Oryctolagus cuniculus: one gene and its partner. The protein of the gene in region 1 interacts with the protein of each later gene in a pairwise test. Links are inferred from orthologs where the notes say so. Each region holds a gene or a part of one and is shown in the gene's direction. Other genes may lie near its edges. The genes, in order: RIGI and MAVS.

Evidence for each region.
Region 2: the proteins of RIGI (region 1) and MAVS interact in binary tests that used the Homo sapiens proteins (3 or more experiments, as listed by UniProt). The link is inferred for Oryctolagus cuniculus from reciprocal best matches to the Homo sapiens genes RIGI and MAVS.

The regions. Positions count from the first base shown.
Region 1 is NC_091432.1:195,871,372-195,883,437, reverse strand, and holds part of RIGI (antiviral innate immune response receptor RIG-I), read left to right. Parts: intron 1-1,796; coding exon 1,797-1,978; intron 1,979-4,349; coding exon 4,350-4,497; intron 4,498-5,490; coding exon 5,491-5,613; intron 5,614-7,078; coding exon 7,079-7,186; intron 7,187-7,537; coding exon 7,538-7,691; intron 7,692-8,240; coding exon 8,241-8,499; intron 8,500-11,490; coding exon 11,491-11,653; intron 11,654-12,066.
Region 2 is NC_091442.1:29,183,191-29,195,256, forward strand, and holds the end of MAVS (mitochondrial antiviral-signaling protein), read left to right. Parts: intron 1-437; coding exon 438-612; intron 613-2,737; coding exon 2,738-2,919; intron 2,920-3,547; coding exon 3,548-3,707; intron 3,708-5,322; coding exon 5,323-5,867; intron 5,868-6,965; coding exon 6,966-7,412; 3' UTR 7,413-11,911; downstream 11,912-12,066.

The DNA.
Region 1 (12,066 bases):
CTCATTGTTGGTCTTATTTGGTGTTTATTTCTTTGTGGTTCCATCTGGAAAAGGTGTACGTGTCCAGGTATTTGTCCATTTCTTTCAGTTTATAAAATGTATTGCTGTATAATTGTAATAATTAATAACAATCCTTTGTATTCCTGTGGTGTCAATTGTAACATCTCCCTTTTCATCTTTAATTTTTAGTCGTTTCTTCTCCTTTCGTTAGCCTTAGCTAAGGTTTGTCCATTTTATTTATCTTTTTAAAGACCCAGCTCTTCATTTCATTATTTTTGGAACTCTATTTCATTTACTTCTGTTCTGATTTTTATTAGTTCTTATATTTTTTTATTTATTTTTGTTTTTCTAATTCCTTAAGGTACAGCAGTAAGTTTGAAATCATTCTGCTTTTATTTTTTTTAAGTGGGCATTGATTACCATAAACTTTCCTCTGTGTACTGCTTTTGCCATACCTCATAACTTTTGGTATGTTTCTGTTCCTGTTTTCATTCATGCCATGAAAGTTTTAAATTTCTTTTTCGATTTTTTTCTTTGATTTATTGGTTATTCAGTAAGATGTTTAATTTCCACATATTTATGTATTTTCCAACATTTTATTTGTTACTGATTTCCATTTTTGTTGCATTGTGGTCAGAAGAGATACTCAATAGGATTTCTGTCTAATGTGTTGAGACTGGCTTTGTGACCTAGTATATGATCTGCCCTGGAGACTGTGTGTGTGCTGGTAAGAAAAGTGTATTTTGCAGGTATTGGATGGAATATTCTTTTTTTTTTTTAGATTTTTATTTATTTATTTTAACAGGTAGAGTTACAAACAGTGAGAGAGAGACAGAGACAAAGGTCTTCCTTCCGTTGGTTCACTCCCCAAATGGCTGCTACAGCCGGCGCTGCGCCAATCCAAAGGCAGGAGCCAGGTGCCTCTTCCTGGTCTGCCACTCGGGTGCAGGGGCCCAAACACCTGGGCCATCCTTCACTGCCTTCCCAGGCCACAGCAGAGAGCTGGACTGGAAAACGAGCAACCAGGACTAGAACCCGGTGCCCATATGGGATGCTGGCGCCACAGGCGGAGGATTAGCCAAGTGAGCCATGGCGCTGGCCCCTGGATGGAATATTCTATAAATGTCTGTTTGGTCAGATTGGTCTGTAGTAAAATTAACTGCTGTTTCTTTGATTTTTTTGTTTGTGTGATCTGTATACTTCAATATATTGAAGTTCCCTACCATTATTATATTAGAAAATATCTCTGCCATTAGATCTGTATTGGGATGCAAATATATCTGATTTTTATCCTGGATGGATTAGACCCCTTATTGTATAATGGCCTTCTTGTCTCCTTTTGTTGCTTTTGATTTAAGTTCTGTTTTATCTGATATAAATATGGCTACTTTTTTTGTGTTCCATTTGCATGGAATATCTTAGTCTTTAATTTTCATTCTATGAGTGTCCTTTTAGATGAACTGAGTTTTCTTTAAGCAGTACATAGTTGGATCTTGTTTTATGCATTTGGTCACTCTTTTAATTGAGTTTAAAATTCATCTATATTTAAGATAATTATTGATAGGTAAGGTCTTACTACTGCCATTTTGATACTTTTTTAGTTTTATTATAGTGACTTTTTTTCTCCTTCTCTTTTAATCTTCCTCTGTGTTGACCTAAATTTCTCTAGTAGAGTGTTTGATTCTTTCCTTTCTTTGAGTTTTATCACTATATATTCAAATATGATTGCTCTGATAATTTCATTGTGTTTTGTTTATTAAATTTAGCCCATAAAACTTGCTATTCCTCCTTTTCAGGTTATTCTGGGCTTTATGAAGCCATTGCAAATTGGAATTTCCAAAAAATTGAAAAGTTGGAGGAATACAGAGCACTTTTGAAACGTTTACAACCAGCATTTAAAGACAGAATTGATCCAACATGTATCCTTCCTGAAATGTCTGACTGTATAATTAGTCAGGAATATGAAGAAATTATGCAGGTAAGTCAAATAAAATACTAACTTTAGGGGAAAGTAGTTGGAACATGGGGATGTCTTGTGTTGTCTCTACTGTTTTAGAACTGAAAACGATAATTGAAACACACATAAGTCCTTCTATAAGAGGCATAGTTACCTAGGAAGGTACTTGTAATGTGAACTGATTTTTATGTAACAATTTTTTCAAGTTTGCTCTATTTTCACTTAAAATTACTTTTTTCTGAATAATTCATGCAAATTTAAATACAGTCGACCAGTTCAGCAAAGAAAAATAATAAGAGAAAAGCTGGGGCCAGCACTGTGGCGTAGTGGGTAAAGCCGCTGCCTGCGGCACCAGTATCCCATATGGGTGCTGGTTTGAGTCCCAGCTGCTCCTCTTCTGATCCAACTCTCTGCTGTAGCCTGGGAAAGCAGTAGAAGGTGGCCCAAGTGCTTGGGCTTCTACACCTGCGTGGGAGACCCAGAAGAAGCTCCTGGCTTTGGATCAGCACAGCTCTGGCTGTTGTGGCTATTTGGGAAGTGAGCCAACATTTGGCAGGCGTTTCTCTCTGTCTCTCCCTCTGTCTGTGGCTCTGCCTCTTAAATAAATAAAAAAATGATTTTTTAAAAAAAGATTGTAGACTAGCAGTTAAGAATTTGTGCTATAGACGCATTAAATTTTTTGTACCTAGAAACCTTTTATTTAAGCTTTAGAAACTTGATGCATTTTATATATACAAATTTGGAAACAAAGTGATTCTTCCTACCCTATCCTCCCTCCCACCTGCATTCACAAGCTTTCTTCCTCCTCCCTCTCCTATTCCCTTTCTTATTTTTTACTAAGATCTGTTTTTTTTTTATTTGACAGGTAGAGTTATAGACAGAGAGAGAGACAGAGAGGAAGGTCTTTCTTCCATTGGTTCATCCCCCAAATGGCTGCTATGGCGGCGCTCCGCCGTTCCGAAGCCAGGAGCCAAGTGCTTCTTCCTGGTCTCCCATGCGGGTGCAGGGCTCAGGCACTTGGGCCATCCTCCAGTGCCCTCCTGGGTCACAGCAGAGAGCTGGACTGGAAGAGGAACAGCTGGGACTAGCACCTGGCGTCCATATGGGATGCCAGTGCCACAGGCAGAGGATTAACCAAGTGAACCACGTTGCTGGCCCCAAGATCTGTTTTCAATTAACTTTATACACATAAGATTAACTGTACACTAAGTAAAGAATTCAGTAAACAGTATGGGAAAAAAAAAAAAAAAACTGTTCCTCAACAGCTGGGACAAAGGCTGTTCAGTCATTGCATCTCAAGGTCTCAATTTCACTTCTGTAGATTACTTTTTAGGTACTCTGTTAGTTACCATGGATCAAGGAGAACATATGGTATTTGTCTTTTGGGGACTGGCTTATCATAATGTTTTCTAGTTCCATCCATTTTGTTGCGAATAACAGGATTTCATTTTTTTACTGCTGTATAGTACTCCAACATAGATAAATTTTGTTAGAATCTTGGCTCAACCATTTCCTAGTGTGTGATACTGAATAAGTTACTTAGCTTCTCTAAGCATCTGTTTTGTCATGCATAAAACGAGAATAATAACAGTACCTTAATATAACATTTTATAAGGGTTAAATAAGATAATATATGTAAAGTGCTTATACATGCTTGGCATATGATAATAAGTCCACAATACATTTTACTTCTTATGAATAGTGAAGCCACATAAATCCCTCTATCCTGAAAAGTCACATATTAATATTATGTTACGTTGTTCCACGTTTCACTCTGTGCCAATATCCTGAAAGTGTGAATGACTTGCAAATGGAATATTTTCCTAGTCTTACTTATAATGATAGGTATAAGAACTCAGGGGAGATGCGAAAGCTTCTCTTGACATAGTGACACCGATGTGTAAAGGACAAGGATAGGGCCTGCACTGTGTCATGGAAAGTTCAATTGTCACCATATGGGCACTGGTTTGAGTCCCAGCTGCTCCACTTCCAATCCAGCTCCCTCCATGTGCACCTGGGAAAGCAGCAGAGGCTGGCCCAAGTCTTTGGGCTCCTGCCACCCATATGGGAGACCTGGAAGATGTTACTGACTCCTGGCCCAGCCCTGACTATTGTTGCTATTTGGAGAGTGAACCAGTAGATGGGAGATCTCTCTCTCTCCTCTTCTCTTTTTCTGTATCTTTGCCTTTGAAATAAATAAATAATTTTTAAAAGGATAAGGATGAAGGAAAGAGTTTTAAAAGACTGTTGGATGGGAGAAAAATGGTTATGAACTATAATGTATGGTGATTTAAAATCATATAGCACTTGAAATTGACATTTTCTCATTGAAAACTCATACAAGGAAAACTTTTGAAATAATTGACAAATACACTGCTTTTCCTTTGTTTAGGTTTGCTCCAATAAGGGGATAATGGCAGGTGCAGAGAAAATGGCTGAATGCCTTCTCAGATCAGACAAGGAAAACTGGCCCAAAACTTTAAAACTTGCTTTGGATAATGATAACAACTCATTCAGTGAACTTTGGATGGTAGAGGAAGGTAGGTTATTCCAAGGAAGAGCTCTCCAATGGAGAGCAGTGTGCTCCTCCTGGTTGTACTTAGCGCTTCCCTTGTTCCTGCCTGTGTTCGCTTGCCAGCAAAGGCAGACTCCCCTTCAGATACCCAGGGCTGTGTCGCTACTGAGAGACCAGCATAAAGTCGAGTTCTAGGAGGAAGGTAGCTACTTGCATGCAGAATTCGTTTGGTTGTATATAACCTCTAAAACTGTATCAGGAAAAGATGCCCTCATCCTACATTTACCCATCTTGCCCAAAAAAATTTGGGGAAGGCCAAGTCTGAGCTCTCATCCTGGTTTAGATGATCTGAGATATAGCTTGAGAATTCTAGAATTACAGGTTCCAGTTCTCTAAGGCTTACCCCCTTTCCAAAGTAGAGTCATTGCCCAGTTCTCTTGTTGGGCACCACCTAAAACTGAACCAGAGCGGGAATAAAAGGAGAAAATTTGTGATGATTTGGGCTGTCATTTGACTTTTTGAAGCCAACATGTCCAAGCTTTGTTTTAAAGGATGGCTTTGGCATCATCCACATGTTCATCTTAGCGTTGCTTAGGCTTCTTTAGATTATAGGTTGTTTCCAAAAGTGTCTAAAATACATGTCTGATTCTTGGGTCCAGGGTCAGGTGTCTGCTAAATCACGCTGCTTTTCTCATGTAGACATAGTGTGTGTAGGACTCTTTTGAGTATTGTTAAAATTCATATTCTGATTCCACGGGATCTCAAGGTTCCATTTCTAACAAATTCCCAAAGTTGCTGATCCCGACTCCATACCTTAAATAATAAAGTCCTAAATGACTTTGAAGTTCAGACTCCAAACTGAGATAAAATGATTCTTTTAAGAAGTGAAGGGGAGTGTTTGTTAGAAATATTAGTGAAAGTTTAGCATTAGTGCTATAACTTCTTTTGTGACAGTTTCACCATCAGAACTATATTCAGATTATGTTAAGGTTCTGGAATGTTTTTTGATCTCACAAAGATGCCAAAGATGTTGAAGCTGAAGATCTTGAGGAGGACGACATGGGAACTTCCAGCATACATATTGTCTACCAGGAAGATCCACAGTTGGAGAATCTCAGTCAGAATTCATGTACACCTGCAGGTACTGCTATTATTTGTGCTTTTTCGTGATGGTGCTCTACAGGCATTTTGTGTGGGGACTTGCTTGGCAGTGCCAAAAGTCATAGCCTTATGAAAAAAGTTTGTAAAGAAAACTAAGGAAGACAAGAGAATTATGTCAAAAGAGATATTTTTCTATAATTAGAATTGCCACTCTTTCCATAGCTGCTAAGTGGACTTTAGAAATCTTTTATCACTAAAAGTATGTGTGTGTCTGTATTAGAAATGCAGTGTCCCTCCAGAAAATGAGTGTCTATGAAATTTATTATCTTTTTATTTATTTATTTTTTTTGATAGGCAGAGTGGACAGTGAGAGAGACAGAGAGAAAGGTCTTCCTTTTGCCATTGGTTCACCCTGCAATGGCCGCCATGGCCGGCGCATCGCGCTGATCAGGAGCCAGGTGCTTCTCCTGGTCTCCCATGCGGGTGCAGGGCCCAAGGACTTGGGCCGTCCTCCACTGCACTCCCTAGCCACAGCAGAGAGCTGGCCTGGAAGAGGGGCAACCGGGACAGAATCTGGCGCCACGACCGGGACTAGAACCTGCGGTGCCAGCGCCGCAGGTGGAGGATTAGCCTATTGAACTGCAGCGCTGGCCAATGTCTATGAAATTTAAAATCAGCTTTCCTCTCTAAAGAAATACCTCTACTGATTGTGAGCCACTCACTTAATTTCCTTTATTAATATCCCAGGGCTGCCATTCAAGTGTGTGAGGTTGGTGTGTTGCACACATGTGCTTGGCTTAGAGGTTGAGTGAGGGCTGAGATGCAGCCCGTGTTGTTTGCCAAAGGGTTATGTTCTCCAAAGAACTCCATTTCCCATTCACACTGAGGCTCTTGTGTGACGTCATTGTGGTCCGCTAAGGCCCCCGATGTGTCTGGAAGCATATTTTCATGACTGTTTCATTAGGGAACTAGGGATTTGCATAACATACCATATAAAATTTATTTATAAAAGGATATCAAGTAGGAAATTATGCTGAATGAAGAATACTCTTTGGGGAAAATGTGATTTTAGGATAACTCTTAAAGAAAATTGACAGATTACTTCTGCAAGTGAGTAATGCAAGTTTTGGGGGAGGAGAATCATTGCAGAATAAAATCAATGACTATAAGTTGCTTTAAATATCCCTGACATGTAAAGATCCTTATATGTCTTGTAAGTGAGGTTACCTCACTTTACCTTTTAAGAAGTTTTCCCTTTCTTAAAAATGGGTGGACTTGCTAGGTATTTCCAGTATTTTTTTCTAGTTCTTAATATGTTATATACTAACATGTTTTTGAGATTAAGTCCTTGGTTAGAGAAGCTGAATTGGTTACAAAGAGACAAGATTCTAAACTTTCTCTAACGAACCCTTCTTTCTACAGTCAGAATCATGTCTACTGGATTTTAGCTATTGCTGTGATTCCTCAGAGAGGTAACTGGAAATTTTGTTCCTTTTGTATTATAGAAGTATCTCGCGCTAAATTATGCAGCCAACTGAAACCAAGAAATTACCAGCTAGAGCTTGCTCTGCCTGCTATGAAGGGAAAAAACACAATAATATGTGCTCCTACTGGTAAGCCAATTGCTATTACTTACATAGTTTGTTTCTCTGTTGCTTTTTTCTTTTTTTCTTTTTTTTTTTTTGTTGAATACTGTGACATAATGGGCAATTTTCAGATTGTTCCTGTTCCATTTGTCTTTTGACAAAACTATCCTATTTAGACAGTCTCAACGAAAGGGAAGAAATGCCCTCTTTTAGTTTTTGTCCTGACTGTTTTGAGTGCATGTTACCTGCGAAGTAGCTTAATGTTTCTTTTTCTGGTCATAATTTCTAGTCAGTTCAATGATGTTAGAGGAGCCAAAAATGCAGAATTCTCTAGTATAATATTAGTTACATGTTTTCCTTTTCCTTGTATGTTAAAAGGTTGTGGAAAAACCTTTGTTTCACTTCTTATATGTGAACATCATCTTAAAACATTTCCACAAGGACAAAAAGGGAAGGTGGTGTTTTTTGCTAATCACGTCCCTGTGTATGAACAGCAGAAATCTGTGTTCTCAGAGTATTTTGAAAGACTTGGGTAGGTACAACAATCAGTCCAATGTCATGTTTCTCTAGCTTCATGCAATGAATTGTTTTCTGTTTTGTTTTTTAAAAGCCATGCTTACATTGTTTTATAATATTCAGCTTTTATATAAACTAGATGTTAATTCCTGCATGTAATTGAGTCTTTTCTTGTTATACATACTAGAAATTCTAAAGCCTCCTAGTTTTTATGGTTTGAGTAAACGATTTAACAGATAATGAACTCGCTTTAATAGGGATGAGGGTACCTTAACTGCTAGACTGAGTACCTATCCTAAATTTGACATTTAAATATCACATTTATCTTCTTTAATGATTTTATAATTTATTTGGTAATAGTCTTTGATCTACTCTCTCTGCTTTTAGTTACTTGAAAGAATGAATATATACTATGTTAACTACCTTGCATTTATTGATTATTTACCGTGTCAGGCTATGTGCTAAGGACTTGTCTCTAAATATATTCCTTTTGGATTTAAGATCGTCAGTTGTGGCTTCTCATCCACATTATGCTTGGTTAATAGGGGTTTCTGTCACTTCCCAGGTACAGTGTGGCAGGCATTGCTGGAGCAACAGTTGAGAATGTCCCCGTGCAACAAATCGTGGAGAACAATGACATCATTGTTTTAACGCCACAGATCCTTGTGAACAATCTTAAAGACGGAACTATTCCATCACTCTCTGTCTTCACTTTGATGATATTTGATGAATGTCACAATACTTGTAAACAACACCCATACAATAAGATCATGTTCTATTATCTGGATCAGAAACTTGGAGGATCTTCTGACCCACTGCCTCAGGTATGTCCACAGTCAGGAGAACTCCTTGGGAGAGGTATAATCTCCCTGAATTCCATTTACTTACACCTGTCACCACAGTGAGGATGTCCTTCTCAGGTCCTAAGTCATTATACAACTCATTGATCAATTTTGGTCCATTCATTTATTCAGTTAAGATATTAGCTGGGGGGCCGGCACTGTGGTGTAGTGGGTAAAGTCGCCACCTGCAGTGCAGGCATCCCATATGGGTGCTGGTTCGAGACCCGGCTGCTCCGCTTCTGATCCAGCTCTCTGCTTATGGCCTGGGAAAGAAGTAGAACATGGCCCAAGAGCTTGGTCCCCTGTACTCATGTGGGAGACCTAGAAGAAGCTCCTGGCTTTGGATTGGCCCAGCTCTGATGTTGCAGCCATTTGGGGAGTGATCCAGTGAATGGAAGACCTCTCTCTCTCCCTGTCTCCTCTACCCCTCTCTTTCCCTCCCTCCCTCTCTCCCTCCATCTCTCCCTCCCTCTCTCCCTCCCTCTCTCCCTCCTTCTCCCTCCCTCTCTCCCTCCCTCTCTCCCTCCTTCTCTATCCCTCTTTCTCTCTCCCTCTTTCTCTCTCCCTCCTCCTCTCTCCCTCCTCCTCTCTCCCTCCTCCTCTCTCTCTCTCTATCTCTCTCTCTCTGCCCCTCTCTAGCTCTACCTTTAAAATAAATAAATCTTTAAAAAAAAAAAAATATATATATATATATATATATATATATATATATATATATATATAGTGGGACCTCACTATCCAAGGAAGATGGTTCCAGGACCCTCTACACAGGTATAAAATCTATACATGCTCAAGACACCTTTACAAAATGGTAATACTCATCCACATTGTGCTTGGTTAATAGGGGTTTCTGTCACTTCCCAGGTACAGTGTGGCAGGCATATAATCCATGTACATCCTCCCATTTACTTTAAATAATTTCTGGACTACTGATTACACAATGCAAATGTTATTTTTTTAAAGATTTTTTTTTTTATTTTATTTATTCCACAAGTAGAGTTACAGTGAGAGGGAGAGACAGAGAGAAAGGTTTTCCTTCCATTGGTTCACCTCCCCAAAATGGCCGCTATAGCTGGCGCGCTGCGCCGATCTGAAGCCAGGAGCCAGGTGCTTCTTCCTGGTCTCCCATGCGGGTACAGGGCCCAAGCACTTGGGTCATCCTCCACTGCCCTCCCGGGCCACAGCAGAGAACTAGACTGGAAGAGGAGCAACCGGGACTAGAACCCAGGGCCCATATGTGATTCCTGCACTGCAGGTGAAGGATTAGCCAAGTGATCCACAGTGCTGGTCCCAGAATGCAAAGGTTATACTAGTAGTTGCTGTACTGTATTGTTTAGGGAGTAATGACAAGGGGAAGGTTTGTACATGTTCAGTACATGTACAGCTTTGTTTTTAACATTTTCAAGTTGTGGTTGGTTGAATCCATAGATACAGAACCTGTGGGTACAGAGGACTGATCATGTATATTGTATACCTCCATGTGCCTTGCACTGTGCCAGGCACTGGGGATACTAGTATAAAAAGACATAGCTTTGCCCTCAGACAGCGTGAATTTCATAGGGAGCTGGGCAAGGATGAATTATATCATAGGCCTGCTGTAGAGGCAGGACAAGAGCATGGTCAGAACCTAAGTGAAAGCACGCCTATGTGTGCAATGAAAGTAAGGCAACATCTAACAGAAGTTAGCTTGGGCCAAAGTTAACATGAGTTTTCCAGGTGGATAGCTGGATGGTTTGCAGTAAGAGGCTGCTGCTTGTCTAGAGGCACAGAAGTACCAAAGAGTGTGGTGTGCTCTGCAGTCTTGAAACTCTTCAGGATTACTAGAGGGTAGATTGTGAGGTAGGGAGTAGCAAGGCTGAATGGGAGAAGGGAATGACTGATAGAGCAACATGCCTGGAGACACCAGATGGTATAGGAGATGCAGGCAAGTAGATGAGTGTAATTAGACTTGGGGAGGAGCACCATCTTTAGCATCCTCAGGGAAGAAGAGGCAAGAAGAGTCAATTAAGATAGGTGCTCTTTGATGGGCGCAGGAAGGGATGGGGAATCTCTGGTGTGTAAATCCTCCCTTTTCTTGAACATGGGAGATGTAGATGAATTGCTGAAAATTCTCAATATTGGAAAGGGGTGGGAAGCTTGGGAAGGGTGGAGAGGAAGAACCGAGACGAATACATTGAAGATTTGTTGGTCATATTGAGGGCCCAGGTGAAGTTGGAAATCATGAATTTATGGCATATCAATCTACACATTTGTGTACAGTTCTGCAGCTCCAATAAGCATCAATTTAGGAAGCATAGGTTAGAAGAAATTCTGTAAGATACCTGCAGATCCAAAAAAAAAAAAAAAAGGCAATCATGTGTATTAGTCTTTTCTTCTGGAATAAAATTGGTGTAAACTAGATTACTTGCTGGTGGGTCAATTATTCAACGATTACTGAGTAGTTATTGGTGAAAGAAATGAATATTTATTAGGTGGCCATTATGCTAAATCTTTACAAATGCTATCATCCCAAGTCCAGGCACCTGCCATTTTAAACAGTGATTGTTTCCCAGCTTTATGGAGAGATGAAGATATTTGTCCGACACACAGCATAATATGGCTGAGGTTGTGACACGGCTGAGACACACGGGAAATGTGTCTGCTCTTCTTTCTTTTTCAGCGCGGTGTTCTCCATGTTGTGAAGGATGCAAGAGTTGAGAACTAAGCAGCCCTGTTCTGGATGGGCTTTCTCTCTCCGCTTCTCTGCTAATTTGTGTTTAGCTGATGAATTGTGACTCTTGTACTTAGTACTTTGATTTTCCATTTGCAATATCACTGAGAAAGTCAGGGAAAAACAACAGTATGCTTCTATCTGAAGTTAGTGAAAAAGAAAGCAAAACAGAAACCCTAATCCCAGCAGGACAGAATTCCTCAAGAGGCTGTGGACACAGCACTATTTCTCAGACATTGAATACCTTGGAATGTTTCTTATAGGTCGTTGGGATGACTGCCTCTGTTGGTGTTGGGGATGCCAAAAACACAGATGAAGCCGTGGAATATATCTGCAAACTCTGTGCTTCTCTTGATGCATCAGTAATAGCAACGGTCAAAGAGAATCTGGAAGAACTGCAAGAAATTGTTTATACGCCCCAGAAAAGTAAGTGAGATCCAGTAACAAGGCCTTCATTCTCTGCTACCCCTGATCCTGAGCCAGTTAGAGGAAGACTGAACTTTGACTTTCTCTCTGTTTAACAGAAAACATTTGACCCAAAGTTGGGAAATTGTGCCATGTTCAGTATCTCTCCTTAACTGAACTCTCTTCTCAGGCAACGGGTCAGTGTCAGAAGTGGCCTGTAAGGAGCCAGTGTTCCTATGCTTAAGTTCTATAAAGGGCTTATAAGGTCCTATCAGTGTAACAGAGGTACTGAGGAAAGTTAAGCATACAGATGATCAAGGACTGGCCCAGTCCTTCCCTGTGCTCCACATCTGAGGCAGATGCTGTGTAGTCACCATTGTTGTAATTGAAATAGCAGTCTCTGAATTCATCCTGTCTTGTCCCAGAAGATCAGG
Region 2 (12,066 bases), on another chromosome or scaffold:
TCAGGGCTGATGGGGTTTGACCCCTTCCTCTTGTATGTTGCATCTTGAAGATCCCTTATCGCTTAGCAACCGTTTTCTGTGTTTTGCTTCTGTTTTGTGGCTTGTTTTCATTTTGCTCTGGGGGGGGTTTCTGGTCCCAGGGCTTTTGCAGGCAATACATTTTGCTTCTCATCAGCAAAGGAGAGCTAATTACAGGACACTCAGAGTCCACTTCCCGGCAGCTGCAGTTGGTCGTTGGCTATTGGCTGCTGCTCATGGCTCTTCCTCATTCTGTTCTAGGGCCCTGATCCTGGCTTTGTCCTGGGCCAGGGTCCAGTGTCCAATGGCTGCTCCCCACTGGGGTCTCTCGGTGCCCCTCTCTGCAGTTGTCACATGCTGGGTGAAGAGGCAGCCAGCGACAACTGGCTTGAGCACGACTCCGGGGCTGTGTCTTCCAGGATCGGCTGCGGGCCTCCTACACGCGCCTGGGCAACCGAGACACCCTCTGGGACCTGTTCAACAGCCTGCAGCGGCGGACCGGCTGGGTGGATTCCTTCATCCGGGGCCTGAGGGCCTGCGAGCTGCCGGAGCTCGCTGACCAAGTGGCTGGCGAATATCAGCGCCACCTGCCTCGTGAGCGTCCTGCCCTGGCCCCGAGACCCTGCCTGCTTCCTCTGCCTTCTCTACCCTCGCCTCTCCCTCCTTGGTACCTCCTGCCTTTGTCCTCACCCTCCCACCCGTCTCCTGCCATCTGTGGGTGAACCCGAGTGTGGAGCCTGGCTGAGCCTTGGGCTTTCCCTCTGTAAGATGGGGCTGATGGCAGTTTCTGCACTGGGCAGATTCTGCGGGACGGTGCGTGTCGAAGGGGCCGACTCCTCTGATTTGTCGGGCTGTGTTCTTTGCCTGCTGCCTGCTTCTGGCCTCCGGGTTCCTTCCTCTCCACACCCACGTGTCCGCCCTCCCTCTCTCCACTTTACTTCCCCTCCTCCTGCTCCCCCTGGAAGCCTTCTAGCCCTCACCCCAGGCTGCTCCGTTACCTCTCAGCTCCCTTCCGCTGCCCCTTCCTGGCCCTGGTGCTGGGGGCATTTGGCATGGTCAGGAGAGGAGAGGGCCTGGGGGAGGGAGGGAACCAGCCTTGTTCATACCAAGGGACTTCAGGAAGCTCGTGGAAAGAACAGTTTGAAAGACACGTTTATCTTGGTGCCCCCCCAAAAAAAATTAAATCCATGCAGTTTTTATAGCATGCATTTCTTTCTTCCTTCCTCCCTCCCTCCCTCCTTCCCTCCCTCTCTTTTCTTTTTTATTTTTTCTTTCCTTCCTTCTTTCTCTCTTTTGTTTTCTTTCTTTCTCTCTCTTTTTTCTTTTGAAAGGCAGAGTTACAGAGGGAAAGGGAGAGACAGAGAGAGAGAGAGATCTTCCATCTGCTGGTTCATTTCCCAAATGCCATCAATGGCCAGAGCAGGGCCAGACTGAAACCAGGAGCCAGGAGCTTCTTCCAGGTCTCCCATATGGGTTCAGGGGCCCAAGCACTGGGGCCATTCTCTGCTACCTTCCCAGGCGCATTAGCAGGGACCTGAATCAGAAGTGGAGCAGCAGCCAGGACTCGAACCAGTGGCCAGATGGGATGCAGTGACTTTACCCACTATGCCACAGTGCTGGCTCCCATAACATGCGTTTCTGTGAGGTTTTTTAATTAATTAATTTATTTATTTATTTTGCCAGGCGGAGTGGACAGTGAGAGAGAGAGACAGAGAGAAAGGTCTTCCTTTGCCGTTGGTTCACCCTCCAATGGCCGACGCGGCTGGCGCGCTGCGGCTGGCGCACCGCGCTGATCCGATGGCAGGAGCCAGGTACTTATCCTGGTCTCCCATGGGGTGCAGGGCCCAAGCACTTGGGCCATCCTCCACTGCACTCCCTGGCCACAGCAGAGAGCTGGCCTGGAAGAGGGGCAACTGGGACAGAATCCGGCGCCTCGACCGGAACTAGAACTCGGTGTGCCGGCGCCGCAAGGCGGAGGATTAGCCTAGTGAGCCGCGGCGCCGGCGGTTTTTTAATTTATTTTGAGAGGCACACACATACACAGCTCCCATTTGCTGGTTCACCCACCAAATGCCCACAACAGCTAGGGCTGATCTAGGACAAAGCTAGAAGTTAGACTTGCAGCCCAAGTCGTGCATGCTATGGTGGGAGTCCGATTACTCGAGCCATCACCTGCTGCCTCCCAGGGTGTGTGCCAGCAGGGAGCTGGAGTCAGGAGTGGAGCTGGCACTGCAGGCACTCAGGCGCAGGTGTTAACTGCGAGGCAAACACGGGCCCTCCGTGTCCGTCTTAAGACTCCTTGTACTTCAGGCCTGGGCAGCCTCGGAGACCCCAGTCAGGTTTCCAGCTCCGGGATGCCCCACACTGGCTTTTCTTTCTCCGTCCCTGCCTCCTTCCTTGTGAGTTTCTTCATTGGTGGAGATTTGCAGTGATTCCCTGAGCATGGACAGCTGCTGCAGGGCCAGGGATGGGCGGGGCAGGGGTCTGTGAGTGGTAGCAGCCCCCCCAACTTCGCCTCCCCCCTTGCTACCTATCTTTGGCCTCTCCAGCTCCCCTCTGCCTGCTACTCCTGCCTCCCCCCAGTGGCCTCCCAGAACTGCACCCTACATTGGGACAGCCTTGAACTATGGAGGGGGTTGGGGGCCCAAGAGCTGCCAGGTGTCTCCATTACAGGGAGCCCCCCATTCCTTCCTGATATCACTGTATTTTTGTCCTCCAGGGGCTGCATCCCACCCGGGAGCCCCTCGCGGGGCACCACAGGAGGCGCCATCACTTCCTGCCGAGGTTCCTGGGGCCTCTGCACCTGCTGCAAACCCCAGCATCCCCCACGCTGGCCACAGAGAGGAGCCAAGTTACCCCTTGCCTGTCCAGGACACCCAGCCTCCCAAGTCCCTGGGAGAGGTGCGTCCTCACCGCCCGCCTACCTGCTTTTGTGTTCCTGTCTGCCCGCTTCTACCCTCTCAGGCCCTTACAAGAAGGGGGGCTGCCTCAGACCCACCTCAGGCGGCTGGCCAGGCCTTCAGCGTGTTGCTGCCCACAGCCCTCTGCCTCCAGCTGGCTTGGAGGCCACCGCTCAGAGGGCTCCGCGGTGGCCAGTATGAGATGCGGAGCTGGGGGAGGAAGCTGGGGCTTGACCAGCTGATGGGGAGGGTGGGACGAGGGAGCAGACAGCGAGCTGCAGTGATTGCCAGGAAGATCAAGTCCAGGGGAGAGAAGACTGTGTCTACTGAGAGGTCAGGAGTGGGCAGCGGGCACCCAGGAGACCTGGAGGCTAAGAAGGGGTCTGTGCGTGGCTGCAGAGAGGGGGACCCATCCCCGGGGCCACAGGTGGACAGGGACTGCCCTTGGGTTGATGCGTGTCTTCTGTGAGGTCAAGGCAAGGTTGCCCATGGACACGGGGTCCGGCTGCGTCTCCTTGGCTCCCGGGCTCTGTGCGGTGGCTGAGCCCTTCGGTAGCGGGGGTCCCCGGAGCGTGAGGCGCTCTCTGCCAGCTCTCAGGGGACGCAGCTGCTGATTTTCCCTCTTTCAGGGTTCAGAGCAAACGCCACACACACCCAGCTCTGGGGTCCTCCTGAGGACACCCAGCGTTCCCCTGGAGCCCTCCTCCTCTGACCCAGCAGCCCTCGGCCCTCCAAGCCCCAGCAGGCCTCAGGAGCAGGACACAGACTTGGCCAGCATCCACACAGCAGGTATGCATGGAATGTGGCGTTACAAGGTCTCACTGGCCTCCCCGAGAGGGTGAGAGGGTCAGCGTCAGGGTCAGAATGACTCCTCTGTCCTCCTGGACCAGAGACAAAGTGGGAATAAAGGGAGCAGAGGCTCCTTAGCCAGTGGATGGGGACGTGGTCACTGGCTAGGATGTGGTCGCTGGCTGGGGGCATGGTCACTGGCTGGGCAGATGTTGCAGTACATTGCTGCCCAGGTGGGGGAAGAGAATTAGGTCCATTTCTGCCCCCTGTCAAAGGGTGGGATGGCCAGGGCTGGGCCGACTGTTGGCAGCAGAGCTCACTTGGACACTGCCCTACCCCGTAAGTGTTGTCAGTTCCCAGCAAATCATCAGCTGGGGCCTGGCCCCACGCCAGACCTCAGTGCTGCCCCTCAGGAACGTGGAGCCGTCCGCCGCGACCTCCCAGGCCCACACCTCTCCACTGCCTCCCAGAGTGTGTTCCACGGGATGCTGGTGCCTGGCCAGCTCTCAGGGCCCCTGGGAGGCACCGAGCAGCTAAAGGCTGGGAGATGCCAGCTTAGTGCCCCCTCCTGCAGCTACCCCCAACCTGTTCACAGCACCTGCCTTGCACTTTGCCATGTCAGCTTTCCCGGGATGCCTTTCAGGAGGTGCCGTGGGGTCTGGGGTGGAGGTGGAAATGCACTTGGGTTTTAGGACATTTGTGGTCATGTGTCCCCAGAGAGTCTGTGCCACTGTTGTTGGGAGGAAGGCCCAGTGGAGTCACCCCAGGGAGACGTTTGTCCTGACAGGACATCTGTGTCCCACATCCGGGTACCTGGGTTAGAGTCCTGGTTCCAGATTCCGACGCCAGCTTCCTGTGCGTGCGGATCCTGGGAGGCAGCTCTGATGGCTCAAGTAACTGGGTTCCTGCACCCACATGGGAAACCTAAGTGGAGTTCTTAGGTCTGGCTTTGGCCTGGCCTAGCCAGCCTCAGCCATAGTGGGCACTTGGGGAGTGAACCAGAGGATGCGAGGTCTCTGTCTACCTTTCAAGTAAATAAAAATTAAAAAACAGAAGAATCACCCGATTGTCAGCCCTGGGGCCTGGCATGTGTGTTCCCGGCATCCCACGGAGGATCCTGATAAAACTGCGCTTCCTCTTGGGGCACTTTGTCCCTGCCCCCACATCTTCTGGCCCCTGGGGGCTGGTAGCTTCTGGTGCCACTTCAGCCTGAGCCGTCCTGCTCTCCCTGGCCTGATGCAGGATCGTCCCACTGGGATGTGCCCTGGGGGCGGGGGGACATCAGTGCTAGGGGCGTCCCAGGTCCCACCTGGCTAGGGAGAAGGTGGGAAAAGCAGGTGCAGGTGAGAGGGGGTGTCCTGGGCGGGAGAAGAATTCACGATAACCTTGCGGCTCCTGGGTCTTGCCAGGAGGAAGGACAGTTAATGCCTGTGACAGGGCAGACCTGGGGCTACAGGTCAAGGGCAGGGCAGCTGTTGGGACTCAGGCCAGTGGCTGCAACCATAAGGCCTGCAGCTGCAGAAGGCATGCTGAGCTCGGGCAGGGGGCCCTTTTGCAGCCCTTGGGATAACAGTTCCTTGGGTTTGTGTTTCCACTTTTGCTTTGCCACCTGCAGGCTCCGGCTCCAGCCCCGCGCCACCCTGCGGACCTGTGTCTCCGTCCGTCTCCTTCCAGCCTCTGGCCCGTTCCACTCCCAGGGCGAGCCGCTTGCCCGGACCCGCCACGTCAGTTTCATCCGCTGGCACCTCCTCACCCCCTGGCTTGGCTGCTGGACAGGGTGCTGGTGTCCAGGCAAAGGCCACCGTATGCTCCAGCGACACAGTGCCCACCAGCTCTGTGCCCCCCAGTGCAGCATCCTCCAGGGTGCCCAGCAACGCAATGTCTGGGGACACAGTAGCCCCCACAGCGCCTGCCAGCTCCGCATTCACCAGCACGGTGCCCTCCAAGTTGCCCACCAGCGCAAAGCCCCCCAGTGCAACGTCCTCCAACGTGCTTCCCAGTGTAGCACCATCCAAACTGCCCATCAGCTCAACAGGTGCTGGCACGGTGTCACCCAAAGTGCCTGCCAGCACGGCGCCCACCAAAACACCTGCCAGCACGGCGCCCACCAAAACACCTGCCGGCATGGCGCCCACCGTCAAGAGCAGCACCAGGGCTGCGGTGAGTCTCACCCCACCTCGCAGTGATGTGGGACCCCTGCCCCAGCAGAGCTGGCCCTCCTGGCACCCTTCCCAGTCTGTCTGTGCAGTCTGTGGCCTCACCCAGACCCGAGGAGGAATAACAGTCAGGGGAGCTCCTGAGTGTGGCTGCCTCGGGCGGGGGCTCAGGCATGCTGGGTCACCTGCTGTGTTCATGTGCGTTCATTCTTTTAGGGCTCTCAGCCCCAGGTAAGCTCAGTAAGGCCCTTTCTTTCTTTCCTTTCTCTCTTAAAAGACTTATTTATTGATTTATTTGAAAGTCAGTTACAGAGAGAAAGAGAGAAAGGTCTTCCATCCGCTGGTGCACCCCTCAGATGGCCTCAGTGGCCAGAGCTGCACCAGGCCAAAGCCAGGAGCCAGGAGCTTCTTCTGGGTCTCCCACATGGTTGGCAGGGGCCCAAGCACTTGGGTCATCGTCTGCTGCTTTCCCAGGTGCATTAACGGGGAGCTGGGTTGGAAGTACAGTAGCTGGGACTCAAACCAGCACCCATATGGGATGCTGGCAGTGTAGGCACCAGCTTTACCTGCTACGCCACAGCACCAGCCCCTAGCAAGGCCATTGCACAGATGAGGAACCTGTGAGGGGCAGGGTGTGGGAGGCCCCACCAGGGAGTCCAGCCTATCACTGCATGACCAAGGCCTTATTTGCGGTCATCCTAGCCTATCCAGTCTGGAGCAGCTTCTGTGACACAGCAACCCCCCTTAGCTGCCCCCTGCAAGCCCTCACTGCTGCTGTCCCCTTGGGGGAATCAATCCACGGGACCCTTGGACACATGGCCAGGCCACACACGCTGTGGCTGCTCTGTGGTCTTCAGGCCCAGGCAGAAATGTTAATGGAGGGTGGGCCCACATCCCACCGTGGGTTCCTGGAGCAGGGGTGAGCTCACTGCAGACCCGGGAGGGCTCCCCCACTGCCCTGCACCACCGTGGATTAGATCCCCTCTGGCCCGGGAGTTGAGAGGTTAGGCTGCTGGTTAATGCCCTCACCCAGCAGGGGGCGCCCCACCCAGCTTCTCTTCCTGTCTCCCCGGTTCCTTGAATGCTCTCCTTTCTTTCCCAGGGGACCCCGGTGGCTCCAGCACCCAGAGGTGCCACAGGAGGCAGTGAGCCCTGGCCAGACGGCAGCTCTGGCAGCTTGCACTCTGGGCCGGAGGTGAGCAAGCCAGGTGTGCTGGCCTCCCGGCTGGACAGCCAGCCTTTCTCGGGCTGCTCCGCGGATCTCGCCATCAGCCCCAGCAACTCGCTGCTCCCCGAGCCCGGCCACGGCCCAGAGGAGAACGAGTACGTGTCGGTGGGCACTTTTGGGCTCCACGTGGTAGAATGTCCCAGCGCTGACCTGGAAAGCAAACCTGGGCTGAGCGCCACCCAACAGCCTCCACAGCCCACGGACGAGACTGTGCAATGGGTCTGGGCAGAGCCCTGGGCTTTGTGGTTTGGGGCAGCCGTGGCCAGCGCACTCATGGCCACACTGCTGGCTGTGCTGTACCGGCGGCGCCTGCTTCACTGATGGCCCCAGGACCACCTGCTGCACACCTGCTCAGCCCTCACCGCATGCTGCCTGCCCTTCATCCCTTCCTCAGGGCTGCAGGGCTGGGCCAAGGGGAGCTGCGGGGCTGCAGGCCTGGCAGGAGATGTGGAAACAGCATTTCCGTCCCGGATCGTGCCTTCTCTGGGTCCCTCTTCATCCTTGGCTTCTCTGGATACTCCTCTGGCCCCCCTGCTCCAGACCCGCTCACCTGCATCCCGGTTGTCACCCCATGTGCTGGGGAGGGGTGCCTCCTGCCAGGCTCATTTGCCCAAATGTGCAGATCAGGAGGTGCAGCTGGACAGCTCCTGGGGTTGGCAGTGCCCCTCGCCCTGTCCTGGTGCCCGAAGACCTGAGGGCAGGGGTGCTGCGTCGAGGGGCCTCATAAGACCTCCTGTCCCCAGTGGCCCAGCCCAGAAGCCACTGTGAGTCCTGCCCCAGCCACTTCACCCCCTTCTGGTCTCCATTCTCAGCTCCCTTCTGGGGTCAGGGAGGGGCCGCCTGGTGAGCAGAGCTCAGCTCAAGGCCTGGGCCTCAGATGCAGCCCTCCCTGGGCTGGGTGGCCTTGGCAGATGGTCCGACTCTGGTCTCACGTGGACAGCGTGAGAACCTGGCTCATGCTTTCCTGGGATTTTCTGAAGCAAAGCAGACAGGGGTTGGCCCAGAGCCAGTGACCACTGAGTGCTCCCCCCGCTCTCCTGCTCAGCTTGGTAGAGCTGAGGGCATGAAAGGCAGAGTGTGCAACGGGCCGGGGTGCAGCTCTGTAGGGCGGGCAGCCAGGCCTGCAGCTGCCCTGCCTCTCATGAGCTCCGTGACCCCGAGTGAGCTATCAGCCTCTCTGTGCCTTCATTCCCATCTGTAAAATGGGGGTTAGCACACACATATGTATTTATAGACTCCTCGTGTGTAGTGAGGATGAGATGAGTTGCTCTAAGTTGGACACCTGTTATGACCACTGCTAAGTCTGGAGGGACTGCAGCTCCTGGCCGCGCCTTTGGGGACAGAGCCAGGTCTCCCGCTTTGGCCTCCTTCCTCCTCGATTGCCTGTGCACCGGGGGACTGGGGGGCGGGAGGTGTGTCTACCTGGCCAGCCGTGCAGGATGGGGACTGGGGTGTTCTCCCGCAGGGGCCAGGTGGGTATCTGTGGTCCCAGCCTGAAGCCTGCCCACCCACTGGTGGGAAGATTGGCTATGTTTATACTAGAAATGCATTGGGGTGCATGGGTTCTCTGCAGGTGGCCGTCACTGGACAAGGGGCAGGCACAGGAGCTACCTGTGTTCCTGAGCTCTGCAGGGGACAAGAGCCAGTGTCTGCAGAGATATCGGGGTTGGGGGTCACTGTCGCTCACGGCCAGCCTGGCAGCCCGCGGGGTTTGGTGCCCTGCCCAGGCCGCCAGTTTCGCCTGCAGGGTCCTAAAGACTTCTTCCTCTGAGCTGCTGTTCAGCTCATGCTCCAGGCCCAGCAGCCTGAGCTGTGAAACCAGGGAGACCCCTTCTCTAGCGGCCTGCATTCCTGTGCATCACCCCCGCCTGCCCTCGCCCAGCCCTCCCTGCTCCCCTGTTGGGTAGGGCAGTGAGCAGTTCACGCAGACGCCAGTTTTAATCTGAAAAAGTAGGCGGCTGGAAGGTATCACTCAGCCCCGAGGACTGTGGCCAGAGGGCAGGGCCGGCAGTCAGGCGCCACGGGAAGTGCCTCCGGCAAGTGCATAGCCAGCGGAGGGACTCCCGGCGCTCTCGCCTTGTGCTTCCAGAAGCCTGGCGTGGCCTGTCTTGAGCCCTGTCCTCGTGTCAGCTATTGTCAGCCTGAAGTCCTCTCCATGGCCACTTGAAGCAGGAGCAGAAACTGGCCCGTGAATTGGCACGGTCAGATCACAGTAGTCTTGCCTTTGGATGCAGCTTTCAGCTGCATGCTGGAGACAGAGCTGGGTCCCCCTCCCAGCCTGGGTGTCAGAGGAAGCCAGAACCTAAGACAGGAAGGGTGGGCGTCCTCGCGTGGGCCGGGGGGGGGGGGGGGAGTCAGCTGGCTGCCACGCTTGGGAGAGCACACACCTCACCTTGAGGAGGTGGTGCGCTGGGGCTGGCGGTCCCAGTGCCCCCTACGTGCCTGGGGATAGACCCTCCTTGGGTACCCTGGTCTCAGCCCCTGGGTACCTTCTTTCCTGGGCTGGGCTGCTGGGCCGGAGCAGTCACTGCTTCTGTCTCCTTAGGAGGTACCCCCGAGGCAGGGCGGTGTCCTGTTCCTTTGGAAAATGCTGTTGACTGTGGACTGCTCCCCTACACGTGTGCACAGCACCCCACCCCCCACCCTGCGTGCCCGGCTGGGCTTCAGGGGCGCTCCCTGCCGTCTCGTTCGCCCATGAGCTGCCCTATTTTCTCTACAGTTTCTTTATAGAAGTAAGTTGAAGGACAAAGCGTTGAACAAGCCACAGGGGCTGGGAGGATTTTGCGCCCAGGGCCCTCCGTGTTCTGCACCAGTGCCATGTGACAATGAGGCACCCGTCACTTGGTTTCTTGGCCTCTGTGGCTGACATCCCTCCCCTTGGACTGGCTCCAAGTGCAAGCAGCACTGGACTGGGTCTTAGGGGGAGGGGCCGCAGGAGGCTCCTCCACTGCTCAGCTCCTGGGCAGTGCTCAGCCGTTGCTCCGATCCCAGAGGGGACGATATGACAGCTGTGTCTCCTTGCACCGGAGCCTTCCGAGGCCCTGACAGAGCCCTCGCAGCAGGTGGGAATTCCCGTGCTGGGCAAGATTCAAACCCTGCAGCGTGTTCTGTCTGTGGTCTCTTAGGAATGGAGGCCTTGAGGCCCCGCACTTCATGCACGTCCTGTCATGAAGGTAATGGCCAAGAATAAACACCGCCCCCTCCCCACCAGGGGTGGGAGGTCCAGGCTCCGTGGGCTGTGTGGGAACTGGTACCTGTCGGTGGGCAGCAGGCACGTGCTCCCCTGTGCTCCATTTTCTGTCCTTTCCCTCTTGCACAAGGCCATGAGGTCCACTCGTGCCGGGCAGGGTCAGGCTGAGCCCTCCTCGCTATGCCACTGCTGCTGTCCCTAATAGCAGTAACCAGGAGCGCCACCCCCACCCCGTCTTCTGTGCATCAGGCACTGTGCTCACCCCTTACGTGTGCTAACTCATTTAATCCCCATTTCATGTCTTCGTGGGCCCAATTTACAGCTGGTTTGCAAGGCTGGGTGGGGGAAGGGCCGGGGGGGGCGGGCGGGAAGCGAAGGAGAGCCCTGGAGCTGGGTGTTAGTCGTGTGCGCAAATCACATCTGATTAGGTACTGGAGCCAGGGACCCCATTTAAAGTGAGATTTTCCACATCACCACATCCCTGCCCGGGATGCCAAGATCTGCCACCTGCTTTACTAGAATAATTGCACTCAACACATAATTAATAGAGTCTCAGGGATGTTGCAACAATATGATCACAGTTGTGTGTGTGCCCAGGCTCAGTGGCCTGAGGCTGGGTGAGGTGGGACAGGGGCATAAGCCCAGAATGACAGGGAAGCCAGATTGGTTCAGCAGCCATTGCTCGTTAAAGGCATCCCATGTGCCAGGTCCAAGGCCAAAGATGAGGATGACATGGTGGGGGCCTTCAGGTGGCTGGGGACATGGGCAATGTGTGATGCTGACCACTAGACTTTCATGTCAGTTATTCTGTACGCACTGTGTGCAAAGCGTCGGGATAGGCCTTGGTGACTGAGTAATATAAAGGGGGCTTTGAAAGTTCATGGAAAATGGAGTTAAAAGGTATGTTTATTTTGGTGCAGAAAAATTTGAAATCCATGCATATGGAGGATCTGCTAACAGTTCATGGAAAATGCCTGTTATGGGAAAAAATTCATAGATTCCAAAATTTTCTGCACCAAAGTAAACTTATACTTTTTAATTCTTTTTTCCTGTGAACTTTCTGAAATCCCCTAAATCAAAGTCCCGCTGCCTCTGATATAATTAGAGTGGTCTGGTGAGTGTTCCCGGAGCACGGAGTGGGGGAGGGAGAGTTTGGGAGGGGGCAGATGATGTTTCAATCAGTTAAGTGCTATTAATTGCTACGATATTAATTATTGTAATTAAATCCAGGGGAGAAATACCACTTAGAACCTGTCGTGGGTAAGTCCGACAAGATCAAACGTTAACAGAAATATACGGCAAATGAGACTCGGAGGTTTCCGGAGGAGTGTAAGTTGGTGCTGTGGTCTGACAGTGTCCCCTGACAGCAGCCAGCCAAGGTGATGGCCTTGGAGGCGGGGCTGTGGGGAGGCGGGCAGGCCATGAGTGAGACCCTCGTGAAGGTGATCGGTGGCCTGACAGGAGGCGCCACGGAGTGCCCCCTGCCCTTGCACTGTGCGAGGGTGCGGTGGGAAGGGGCGTGTCTGCACAGAGCTAGCCCTCACTGCACACCAGGTCTGCTGGCACCTTGATCTTGGATTTCCCAGCCTCAGAACTGTGAGAAATAAATGTCTGTCGTGTGTGCCTTGCACAGTCTAGGGTATTTTGTCCGTGCGGCCCTAGCGAACCAGGACGGTCGGTGTATCCCCGTTGGGAAACCAGCAGTGCCTCCTGAGCTGAGCATCCGGATAAGCTGTGAGCCGGCAGGGTGGGTGTGCACACAACGGAAGCAAGAGCCTGTGTCCA